Linked DNA regions of Notamacropus eugenii. The protein of the gene in region 1 purifies or fractionates together with the protein of each later gene. This does not show direct contact. Links are inferred from orthologs where the notes say so. Each region holds a gene or a part of one and is shown in the gene's direction. Other genes may lie near its edges. The genes, in order: SIN3A, BRMS1L and SINHCAF.

Evidence for each region.
Region 2: the proteins of SIN3A (region 1) and BRMS1L purify together in Homo sapiens (affinity purification with mass spectrometry; 3 studies listed by BioGRID, with this or other methods). This does not show direct contact. The link is inferred for Notamacropus eugenii from reciprocal best matches to the Homo sapiens genes SIN3A and BRMS1L.
Region 3: the proteins of SIN3A (region 1) and SINHCAF purify together in Homo sapiens (affinity purification with mass spectrometry; 4 studies listed by BioGRID and IntAct, counting the BioPlex papers as one, with this or other methods). This does not show direct contact. The link is inferred for Notamacropus eugenii from reciprocal best matches to the Homo sapiens genes SIN3A and SINHCAF.

What each region holds. Positions count from the first base shown.
Region 1 is NC_092872.1:240,370,713-240,374,461, forward strand, and holds the start of SIN3A (paired amphipathic helix protein Sin3a), read left to right. Parts: upstream 1-1,021; 5' UTR 1,022-1,071; intron 1,072-3,749. UniProt on the Homo sapiens protein: Acts as a transcriptional repressor. Corepressor for REST. Interacts with MXI1 to repress MYC responsive genes and antagonize MYC oncogenic activities. Also interacts with MXD1-MAX heterodimers to repress transcription by tethering SIN3A to DNA.
Region 2 is NC_092872.1:328,082,908-328,086,656, forward strand, and holds the start of BRMS1L (breast cancer metastasis-suppressor 1-like protein), read left to right. Parts: upstream 1-1,133; 5' UTR 1,134-1,411; coding exon 1,412-1,553; intron 1,554-3,749. UniProt on the Homo sapiens protein: Involved in the histone deacetylase (HDAC1)-dependent transcriptional repression activity. When overexpressed in lung cancer cell line that lacks p53/TP53 expression, inhibits cell growth.
Region 3 is NC_092874.1:215,688,831-215,692,579, forward strand, and holds the start of SINHCAF (SIN3-HDAC complex-associated factor), read left to right. Parts: upstream 1-1,069; 5' UTR 1,070-3,749. UniProt on the Homo sapiens protein: Subunit of the Sin3 deacetylase complex (Sin3/HDAC), this subunit is important for the repression of genes encoding components of the TGF-beta signaling pathway.

The sequences.
Region 1 (3,749 bases):
TGCCTGAGGCAGGCTTGATTCTTTCTGCTTCCATTTGGTTTAAAGGTTAGGCAGAGCTCTTCATGTGAAGGGTGGTCAAGACCCTACTTTGCCTTGGGAGAGGGATGGAAAGGAGGAAAAAGAGGATAAAAGAGGATGTCTTCCTTGCTTTGTACTGGTGGCTGAGATGAAGGGTGCTGTTCTGCACTAGGCAGTACGGGAATAAAGACGAAAGTGGGCAGGGGGGCTTTGTGCTCAAGTATCTTACAGTCTAATAGGGATAAAAGAAAAGATTACAGATTTAGAGTTGGAAAGGACCCTGAACATTACCTAGTGCACGACCATCAGTTTATAGATACAGAAACTGAGGTATAGCTCTATTCACAAGTAACTCTCATATTAGTCTGTGAACTATTAGGAATCAAGGAGCCATCTTTGTATGTCTCCAGTAAACGCAATGGATGCCACTCTTGGTAGCTTCAACAACCATTAAATACCAACTGCATGCACTGGGCCACACTAGAAGGTCTAAAGTTGAAAGCAGACAGAGCCCCTGCTATTAACAGGAAGGACCAAACGAGGATCACAGATCTAGAGCTGGAGGAGCCTTTGAAGGTGGTCTCACGCTGGCCCATCACTTCACAGCCTAGGAAGGTGAGCCCCCAGATCTCTGGTAACTGGGGCACACAAGGCACAGCGTGGGTCTGACCAGTCTGAGCTTTCCGGACAGCCCGGAATGAGGATGGGCAAAGTCCTGATTGGCTCGCGGACCCCGGGACCACGGAACTGCTTGGCTCGGCAGTCCCCTGCCCAGATCGCACCGGGGCGGGGCTGCCCCCACACCGCTCCTCGCGCCCCCTCCTCTAGGAGCGCCCGGGCCCGCGTGAAGCACAGGCGGAGCGCGAAGGCGGGCGGGCCGGCGACGGCCCCCGAGAGCGAATCTGAATTTTGGAAGCGGGGGAGTGGTGCAGCGCGGGAAGGGGAGGGGAAAAGGGGAGGGAGGCGGGCTCTGGTGACGTCAACCCTGCGTGTGGCCAATCCTGTTTGGGGGGCGTTCCCACCCATTCAGGACTCCTCGCCTGGGCTTTGAGGGTATGTGAACAGCTGCTTTCCATTCAGTACCCCCCCCAATATCGGGCATTTCGGGGGTGTGGTGTCTAGGTCTAAGGGGCGCAGGGCGAGAGGAGGCTCGGCGCTGGGGGGCGGGAGGGCCGGGCCTCCCCGCCTGGACTGGCGAGGCGGGGGTGGGGGGTCGCTGGCCCCCTCAGGGGTCTCCGTCCGCCCGCCGGAGGAGGTCTGGGGGCGTCCGCCGTCCTGGGTTTGAAGGGAGCCGGCTAGGGCCGGGCGTGGTTCTCTTAGAGGATCACCGCCCCTCCGGCTGCCCGTGAACTTGACCGCGGGCTGGGGGGAGGGGGCTGCAGTGGGCGCTCGGAGAGCCCCAGACTGCTCCGGGCCGCGGACGTTCGTGGGCCCGACAGCCCGCGGGCAGGACTCCCAGCCCCTCAGCCTGCGCAGACGGACGTCCCAAGACCCGAGTCCCGGGGCCAGCCCCGGCGAGCGGGCATCCTGCTCCACGTCCGAACCCGCCGGGCCCGCGTTCGGCCCTCGAGCTCGGGGAGCGTCCCACGGGGACGGCCCGGAGAGCGGGGAGCAGCGGGGGACGGGCGCGGGGCAGCGGAGGCAGGAAAGGGGGCGGTGAAGGTCGGGAGCGAGCGAGCGGGCAGACCCGACTCCACACGCTGGGACTCGGGAAGAGGAAATGCATCAGTGCGCGGGGGGCGGAGCCTGTGAGGGAGGGGGAGGGGCGCTGTCAGCTGTGCGCCGCCGCGTCCGGCCCGCGGTGGGCGGGGCTGCCGGCCCGGCAGGCTCGGGGAGAGGGGAGGCTTCGCTTCCTCCACTCCGGGACCCGGCCTGTTTACAACCTGTTCTGGCGTTGGCTTGGGCAACCGGGGGCGCGCAGGGGGCGGGGCCGCTCATTCTCTCCTCCCTCGCCTTCCCTCCCCATTCCGGCTGCAAGACTGAACCCGCCCCCTCTTGTTTCCTATTGACTGAGAACGACTCCATTTTCCCCCCCCCCTCCTAGTTCTCTATTGGTTCTTGCTCTCCCTCCGCCAACTCCTCCTATCGCAAAGCCTGGCTCTGGTTCAAGTTGCTAGGTTTCTCCCCCTCCCCCAGCCCCGGAAGCTGGATGAGTTAAGGCTAGAGGGACTCAGCGTCGAAGTGGATTGGCTGATGGGGTGGCCCGCCTACCTGCGGGGGGAGGAGAGCGTGAGGAACAGTAGGGTGCGCCCCCTCCCCTGCCCCACACGTGGGAGGCCCGCCCCAGGCCGCCCTCCCGGAAGTCGAGGGCTGTGCACCCTCCTGGGTTTGAGCTAGGGCTAGGCCTGCTTGAGCCGGCTTGCCTGCAGATGCTCTGCAGTGCGGAGCCTCCGGCGGGGCCAAAGCGAATAGCGTCAATCCGAGCCGCGCCCTGTGGGTGTGGGAAGATGAGGGGCTTCCTCCTGGCCCCGAGCTCGGCAGTGCTGCGGGGGCTCTTTTTTCTCTGGCCCGAGAGTCCCAAGGCTGCCGCCTCCAGCCTCCGAGCGTCGGCAGGAAAGCTTGGAACCCCCGCTCGGTCTGGGCTTGATCTCGCTTCGGGCCAGCTCCCGCCTCGGCGGCCCGGATCCTCCAGGTCACCTGTTGGGAGCTCCCGGAGAGAGTTTGCGTTCCTCCCGACGCGCTCCGTGCCTTAGCAGTTGGGAACGGGCCGGGGAGGCGGGCACACCTGTTGCCATCCCACGTTTGAGAACATTCAGGCTGAAGGAGGGAGGGAGCTAGCAGAACCAGAAACCGCGGCAAGCGAGCCCAGCTCCTGGGTGTCAGGCCACACGCCACGGAAAACCACATCGTGCGAACAAAGCGCGCTGTAGTTTCCCACCGAGAATCGGTTGTTGCGGGCTTAGTGCCCATCACAAACTCGCTTACCTGCGGCACGCCCGTAGCCGAGGAGGCCACTCTGGGTGTCCCTCGCCTCCTCACCCCCGATAGAAATAAATAGGCTACGTGCAGCTCTCTGAACCCGACCTCATCCTCATGGGATTCTAATTTTGGGCAACTAAAAGGTTGTTGTATTTGGAAATAGCGGTAGTCGTGAAGAGAAAAGATCTTTGTGAACCCATTTCACTTTTATTTGCAGTGGGTTGTAGATAAGTGGATGAGGACTATAAGCGACCTTCTGCATTAGACTCCCAAATGTGAGGTTTTTCTCATTTCCCCTTTCTCTGTACCCCGAACTGGCAGCTTCAATGGACATTCCTCCGCTTGATTTTTATTTTTGGCACGAGGGCCAGGTTGTTTGCTTAGCTTGTGAGGATCAGTGCTTTCTCCCACAGTTGTTAGGGTGACAGGGGTCTGTTTAGGGTTCAGGATATTTCGCCTTTTTAATTACGTCCTTCCTGAACAGTACAATATTGGGGGTTTGGTGGGTGAAACAGAAGTCATGGGGGAGACTAAATCTTCCGTGATGCGTGCCCCTAGTCTAGATGCAACCAGTTAGCTGAGTGCAGCACTACTGGATGGTTGCATTTGTGACACTGTGGTCTTTGCTGTAGGTTGCAAGCATTTGCAAAGGAGGTGGGTGGGGTGGTGGTTAAGAGAGTAGGGGCCGTCTTAATTTTTTTTCTTACTCCTCTGTGTGCACGGATGGGGACGGAGTCCAGAAGCTGCCGCCTCTCCTCTTTAAGCAGGGATCCCCATTGCTGGCGCCACCCCTCAACTCGGGAACCCGGAAT
Region 2 (3,749 bases), about 88 Mb from region 1:
CTCTAAAGATATGGTTGGTCATTGCATTGATAAGAGTGCTTTAAGTTTTTCAAAATTGTTTTTCTTTACAATGTTGTTTTCTGTATGTATTTTTCTCATTTATCACTCTTCACCATCTCATTTATTCCAGGATTCTCTAATATTCTCTTTCCTCATTTCATAAGGCGCAATATTATTAATATTAACTTAATGTTAATATTGCCTTGATGGGCACCACACCCTTTAAATTGTATTTGTTTTTCTTTTTCTCTTTTAGATTCCTCTTCAGGAACAGAAATGTGTTGCTTCTGACTATCCTCTTCTCAGTTACTCTTATGCTTTACCTCCTTCTTCACTATCCCCTCTTGTTTCTGTGGCTGAGAGAACAGAATTGAAGTTTTTAAAACAATTATTTGCATAATTCTATGTATTGTGTAGCCAAATCATATAAATTGAGATAGAAAATACAAATTTATTATCTCAGTAGGACTGCAATTTAGTGGAATGAGCACCGGCCTTCCTGTAAGTAGGCGGTCAAAACTGGTAGCCATCACTTGGATCATTTAGAATAAGACTTTCTTTTTACAGATGAAGGAACTGAGGCCAAAGATATTGAGTCATATGTTCTGAGTCACACAGAGGTTAAAAGACTTGTCCAAGGATAGAACCAAGTGATGAGAGCCACTCTCAAACCCACATCCTGCCTCCAAATCCAGTACTTTTCCCACTATACTCCATTGATAGTGAGTTTGGTTATTGCCCTTACTCTGCCACTAACTTGCTGTGAGATCTTTGTTAAATTACTTAATTTTTCTAGGTCTTCATTTTTCTTGTCTTTACATAAATTAGGGGTTGGATTACATTAGTCTCTAAGGTTTCTTATTCTAACAGTCGGTGAAGTTATTGATACTAACAATGAGGTTCTGAACCAAGGTGGGTAGAGGAAATAATTTTCTATTTCTGATAGACTTATACAGTTGGGGGTGGGGTACTCAGATGGCAGCTGTTTAATGGGAAAATGGAAATAGTTCACGTATGTATCAAATATGTGCTTCTGTCTATAAATGAGATTTGAGTGTATGTGATTGGTGCTTTATTGGGACTTGAATTCCAGTTATGCCAAATCACCAGGGCTGAGGCTGTGAAATCCAGTCAACTCGGGTTTCCTTCGCAGAGACTACAACTCCCGAAAGGCAACGGGCCTTCGAAGCTTCAACGTGCGGCCAAGCCCCGCCTCCCAGGCTTCATGGAAGGGGTTCTCCAATGGCAGGGCTTCCATCGCGGGAGCCGGCGGGTTAGGCTGTGAGTTCCAGATAGGGAGAAGACAATTCTGGGAGAAGTCGTGTCGCTTGGAGTGGGGTTGCGCACATAGCCGCACGGAAGGGGCCGTAGCCTGCGAGGAAGAGAAATAAACGCCGGGGGCGACTAGAAAATGCCTGTCCATTCCCGCGGGGACAAGAAGGAGACGAACCATCACGATGAAATGGAGGTGGACTACGCCGAGAACGAGGGAAGCACCTCGGAGGACGAGGACACCGAGAGCTCGTCCGTCTCCGAGGATGGGGACAGCTCAGGTAGGTGGTCAGATCTCCGGCCGCCCGGCCGGGCCTCTCTGCCCCAGCCTCACGTCTGGTCCACTCGCCCCGGAAAGGGGGTAAAAGAGAAGGGAAGGGGCGGAGACTCCTTCCCAGGCCTGTGCTAGGGACCCCGCGCCCCTGTCCCGGCGTCCCTCCGCCCTCTGCGGGGCTGGGAAGGGGAGGAGGCGCCGGCAGCAACTCCTGTACGCCTACGCCGGGTCATGGGTCCCCACAGCTGGCGTGGGCAAGCGGAGCGGAGGCGTGTGGCCCTTCCTGCGCGGAGGAACGCCTTTACACTCTCCGCTGCCTCTGGTCACTTGGCACGTCCTTGCCCCGGCAGCCGGTGGCGATCGCTCCTCCCCACCAGGCCTCGTTGTGTCTGCCCGCCCCTGCCTGCAGCCGATCTGGCTCGGCCATCTCCCCTTGGGTGGGTGCCCCCACGCCCCCGGAGTGAGAGCACACTTTCCTCTGTCCTAATGCCGTTTTTTTCCCTCACCTCTACCTCCAAATCAACCAGCCCACCAGTAACGTTTCTTGAGTTTCCTCTAGAGTATTTAGTAAGGGATGATATGGTCAGCCCTGATCACTTGCAGCAGAATAGAGGGTGAATGGAGTGAGTAGAGGATTGAGGCAGGGAGACCAGTTAGGAGGTTATTGAAATAATCTAGCTTATGTGGGAGAGGTAGAAATAGCATGATTTGGCCACTAATTGGATATGTGCTCTGAAGGAAAGTGAAGAATTCAGAACCTCTGATACTATCCACAGCAGTGACTGGAAGAAATAGGGAAGTTTGGAGGAAAGATAATGAGCTCTGTTTTGAATATGTTGAGTTTGAGGTATAATCTGTTTGGAAATGTCCAATAAGTAATTAGTTGTTGTTGTTACGCAGGACTTCAAGCTCAGAGGAGCTGCAACTGGATGTATAGATGTCTGAATCATCTGCCTAGAGATGATAAAGCAATGAAATTGATGAGGTCCCTAAATGACCTTGTAGAAAGAGCAGAAGAGTCCAGGATTGGAGATCAACTCACAGTTAGGAACCATGATTAGCCAGCGTAGTAGAATGAGGAGGAGCAGTCAACATGTAAGAGAAGAACCAGGAGAGAATAATGTTTCAAAATCCCTGGATAAAGTATCCAGTATCCAGGTTAAAGTAGCAATGTCAGATGCTGCAAAGAGGTCCAAGAATGACTGAAAAAAAATGCCATTAGAACCAACAATTTAGAGATCATTGTTAACTGTGTAGAACAATTTCATTTGAGTTATGAGATGAAGCCAATAGAGAAGACTTGAGTGAGAGGAGAGGAGGTGGAGGCAATGGTTAGTAGACAGCTTTTCTAGGCGTTTGACAGAGAAAGGAAGGATGGGTATCTTGAGGGGGTTAAAGAAGGTTTTTTTTAAGCATGGAGGATTCTTGGACAAATTTTGAAGGAGCCAGTATATAGGGAGAAGTTGAAGATTAGAGAGAGGAGGGAGATGATTGAGTTTGTAATTTGCTGGAGAAGAAGGGATCAGAATAATAGCATTTGAAAGTTGAAACAGTCTTCAAGCAATGTTATAGTCCATATGTGAAGGAATTCCTACTATAACATATCTACCAATGCTCATCTAGCGTCTGCTTGAAGATCTCCAAGGAGGGGGATCCATCACCTCTTGAAGCAACCAAGTTCATTTTTGGACCTCTCCAATTGTCAGGAAGTTATTCCTAACATTAAACCTAAATTGACTTCTTTGTAATTTCTAGCCTTTGCTCCTGGTTTTGTCCTCTGTGGCCAAATAGAACAAATCTAGTCTTCTTCCACATGAGAGCCCTTCAGATAATTAAATTTACCTATCAGGTTCTACCCCCTTAACCTCCCATTTTTTTTTCTTTTGGCTTAAACATTCTCAGTTACTTTAACAGATTCCTATGTGTCAGGGACTTGAGACCTTTTACTATGTTTGCCCTTCTCTGGACACTCAAAAGTTTATTAATATCCTTTTAAAACGGTGGCATCTAGAACTGAACAGTGTTTCAGATTAATTCTGATGAAGGCAGAATATTGTTGGTTTATACCCCGCTTTTCCTAGAAGCTGTGCCTCTTGTTTATGAAGCCCAAAATTACATTAGCTTTTTTAGTTTCCATATCACACTTCTGATTAATATTGAGCTTAAGCCATTAAACCACCCAGGTCTTTTTCATCTTATAGAT
Region 3 (3,749 bases), on another chromosome or scaffold:
ACATAAGTATGTGTATATATATACACATATATAGTGTGTGTGTATAGAGAAAGAAAGAGGGAACAAACTGTACTAAGACTTTTGGGATACCCAGTATACGTACAAACAACAAATACAAAATATTTTGAGGGTGGAACCTGGAGCTGGAGCTCATGTATCTGTGTTGGTATTTGCAGTGGTATTTGACTTGAACTTTGAAGGGAGCTAGGAGAGATTTTGAGACAGCAGGGTGTCTAAGTAGATAGAATGCTAGGCCTAGAGTCCAGAAGACCTGAGTTCAAATCTAGCCTCAGACACTAGTTGGGTGATCCTCAGCAAATCCCTTAACCTCTGTTTGCTTAATCCCACTGGAGAAGGAAATGGCAAACCACTTCAGTATCTTTGCCAAGAAAACTCCTTATGGGATCACAAAGAGTTGGACAATGACTGAGTGACTGAAGAACAAAAACAGAAGGGATTTTAGGGGGCAGTCGAGTACATTCAAGTGATTGGGACAAGCTGTGCAAAGGCACAGAGAAAGGAGATAGAATATTATTAAGGAACTACAAGAAGAGTAGTTTGATTGTGATGTAGTGGACAAGCTCCTGGAGGAGATGCACTTGGTACTGGCAAAGAGAAGGACTTCATAATAAAGCCACCTTAAGATCAGATGCTGTGTCAGTCTCATTCTTCACAAGAGAACTATGAAGACTCCTAAGGAAAAGCTAAACTGGATCAAAATCAAATGTTCCTAGGGAAAACCTTGTTTGGAGCCATAAACAACAGAGTATTATTATTGAGAATCTTCCAAGATATGAACCTTGGCTAAGTAAGTTCAGAGATGTTTTAAGTGATGCACAGATTGCAAGAGAGCTCACTGTAGGTAAGAAATAGTCCTTCCCAACAACCTGGCAAATTAGCATAATTTAGGGGTATTGGTATGGCTGCCTTGTTCCTATTAGTTGAGAGTCAGTTACAATGGCCAATAAAAATCTAACAATTAGCATTTCTAGACTAAAAAAAATGTTTTTAATGCATTGATATTAGCTACCAGTAGAGTAAATTATTCACTTAGAAACATAAATACTGACAAAAACCTATTAATTATTTATTTTTGTTAAATAAGAATTAGTTCTCTCAGTTCTTTATATTAAAGCCCCTCCAAATCAAAAATAATAGTAAGAAATCATAGATATGAGTTAAAAATTTCTGAAAAGAAGTCAGTAAGTTCAAATGAATGAGAAAGTACTATTCTATTGAATAGAATTACATTAGACACATATTTTAAAGGGCTATATTGGTTATATATATATTATACATTTACAGTATAAAACCATATGAAGATAAGTGAGACAGGTGATCATTTTGCCCAAGTTTCTTATATTTTCACTTTCAGTTTTAGGGGGACTAGCCTCTAAGATTCCTTCCAGTTTTAAATTTTATGATATGGCAAAGGATAATTTAATTTTCATATTCATCAATTTACATATTTAACACAATTTATACCATAACTAATAGCAATCATTTAATCTTCACAAAAAATCAGCAGAGCTGATGTCTCATAGGAAGCAGTGGAGAAGAATGTTACAATAAGACTTTTTAAAAGCGCCTCACTAAAAAAAAATAGTTTTTATTATTATTGTTCTCATCTTACAAAATTTCCAATAAACCTGGTACACACTTTCCCAGAAATATCCATACCAACAGCAGGAAGAGTGAACACAGAGAACAAGGGGAATGTAGGGAGCCTGTGTGGCCAGAGACACACATGGAGGGTATGTAAGTAAGAAACATAGAATCACAAAATTTTAGAGCTGGAAAGAATTTCAGGGGCCATCTAGTACCTGATATACCTGAACAGGAATATTAAGGGTATGATTTAAATCCCTTTTCAACTCTCTTTTGGCTTCATCTGTCCATGAAAAAACTAAGAATGAGCTGTAGAGGAAATTATGAATTTGTCCTCTGGGCTTGGCTTTATCTACATCCAGAGGATGGGGAATCTATATGGAGGAATGGAAGAGGTTTGTGCTTTGAATTCAAGAACCCTAGAGGTATCTCTGGGAAAGTGTGTTTCAGGTTTATTAAAAGTATTCCTTTGCTACTTTCCTTACTATATTATTTTATGAAATGACTTTGCTTAGAATTCTGTCCTTGAATTACTCGAAAAGAAAATAAATTGTTTTCAGGCTTGTGAGTTATGATTTTGAGTATAACATTATCATCCTCAATTTATAATTAGAAACTATGAGGTTTAGCAAAGTTAAGTGATTTTCCCAAGGTCACACAACCAGTAGGCTGTGGAGTCAGGACTAGAGCCAAGGTTATCTTGAATTAGTGCTTCTTTCTCTGCACTCAAACATCATTTTAAATTACATTTTCAAACTAAGAGGATTTTCTATTATTTTTAGACGACAGGCAGACTAGGACAGATTTAGAGTCAGATGTGAGGTTAAAAGACACAGTTTCAAATGTTTCCTCTGCTACTTAGTACCTGAATGATCTTGGACTCCATTTTTAACCTCTATAGGCCTCTCATTCTTAATCTGTAAAATAAGGTTTGGCTAGATCAAAGGTTCTTAACTTTTTTATGTCATGAAACCTTTGACAGTATGATAAAGCCTATGGATTCATTATCAGAATATTTTAAAATTCATAAAATACATAGAATTAAAAATGAAAAAAATTATATTGAAATAGTCAGCAAAAGATTAAAAAAACAAGGTCACAGTTGAAGATTATGAATTCCATCTGCTAGACGACATATTCAAATACATCCTATGGAACAATAATCAATTATATTCCATTATTTTCCTTTTTTTTTAAGCACATAAGTCCATTTATCCAAACCAATGGCATCCTTCCTCTTTTTAATTTTTTAAAAAAGTTTTATACACCTTAGCAGGAATATTATGCTCCAGGTATTTTTCCATGACGACAACGATGATTTTAATAACACCTTAATTCATTCAGCTACATGATCACACTGAAATGGTAAACAATCAAATTTGTCAATAAGTGATTCAATTATGTTGTTTACGCTGATTCATTTAGAAACTCGCAACAATGTTTCTCTCCTTTTCCAGCCTTACTCATCAAAATGAGATAAGGTTGCTGGAAGAGTGATACATGTTAGTTTCCTCATTGTGTAACCGTCCAATTGAAATGAAATTCGATTTTTGCTAACGGTTGGGACGATTAGTTTTGATATCCCACCCTGGAAACTGCTACTAGCCTCTTCCTACTTCAACATACTTCCACATACACACTTTCCAAGTCCCGAGGCTGGTGCTATTTCTAATGAATACAATACGGGTGCACAGTCCGTCTGCAGGCTCTGGCTGCAGGCTTCCAGGCTGCCTGGCTCTCCAAGCCTCTCCAAGTCCCGGGGGAAGCCCAGCCACCCTGTTGCCACAGAAATGGAGAAGCCGTTCAACCAAAGCAAGCAGGAGAAACTGGCCTGAAAACGAAACGAAACGAAACAAAGCAAGGCATGGGAGGGGAGAAGAGGGTGAGTACGAGAAAGCTTTTTAAAATATCCCACTAAAAAGACCAGAAGGACGAAAAATCTGCTCCGCCAAGAAGAAACGGCTGGGAACACGAGCGAAGGGGGGGTCAGCACGTAAAAGTTCGGACCCGCCTCCGCATCACCCTGGACCTCAAGTTCATGGCAGGTGTGGAAGCCCGGCAAAGTGAAGCTTCTGGAAAAATAAAATAAAAATAAATAAAAATAAAAAGGAAGCTTCAGCCGCACGTTTTAAAAAAAGTCT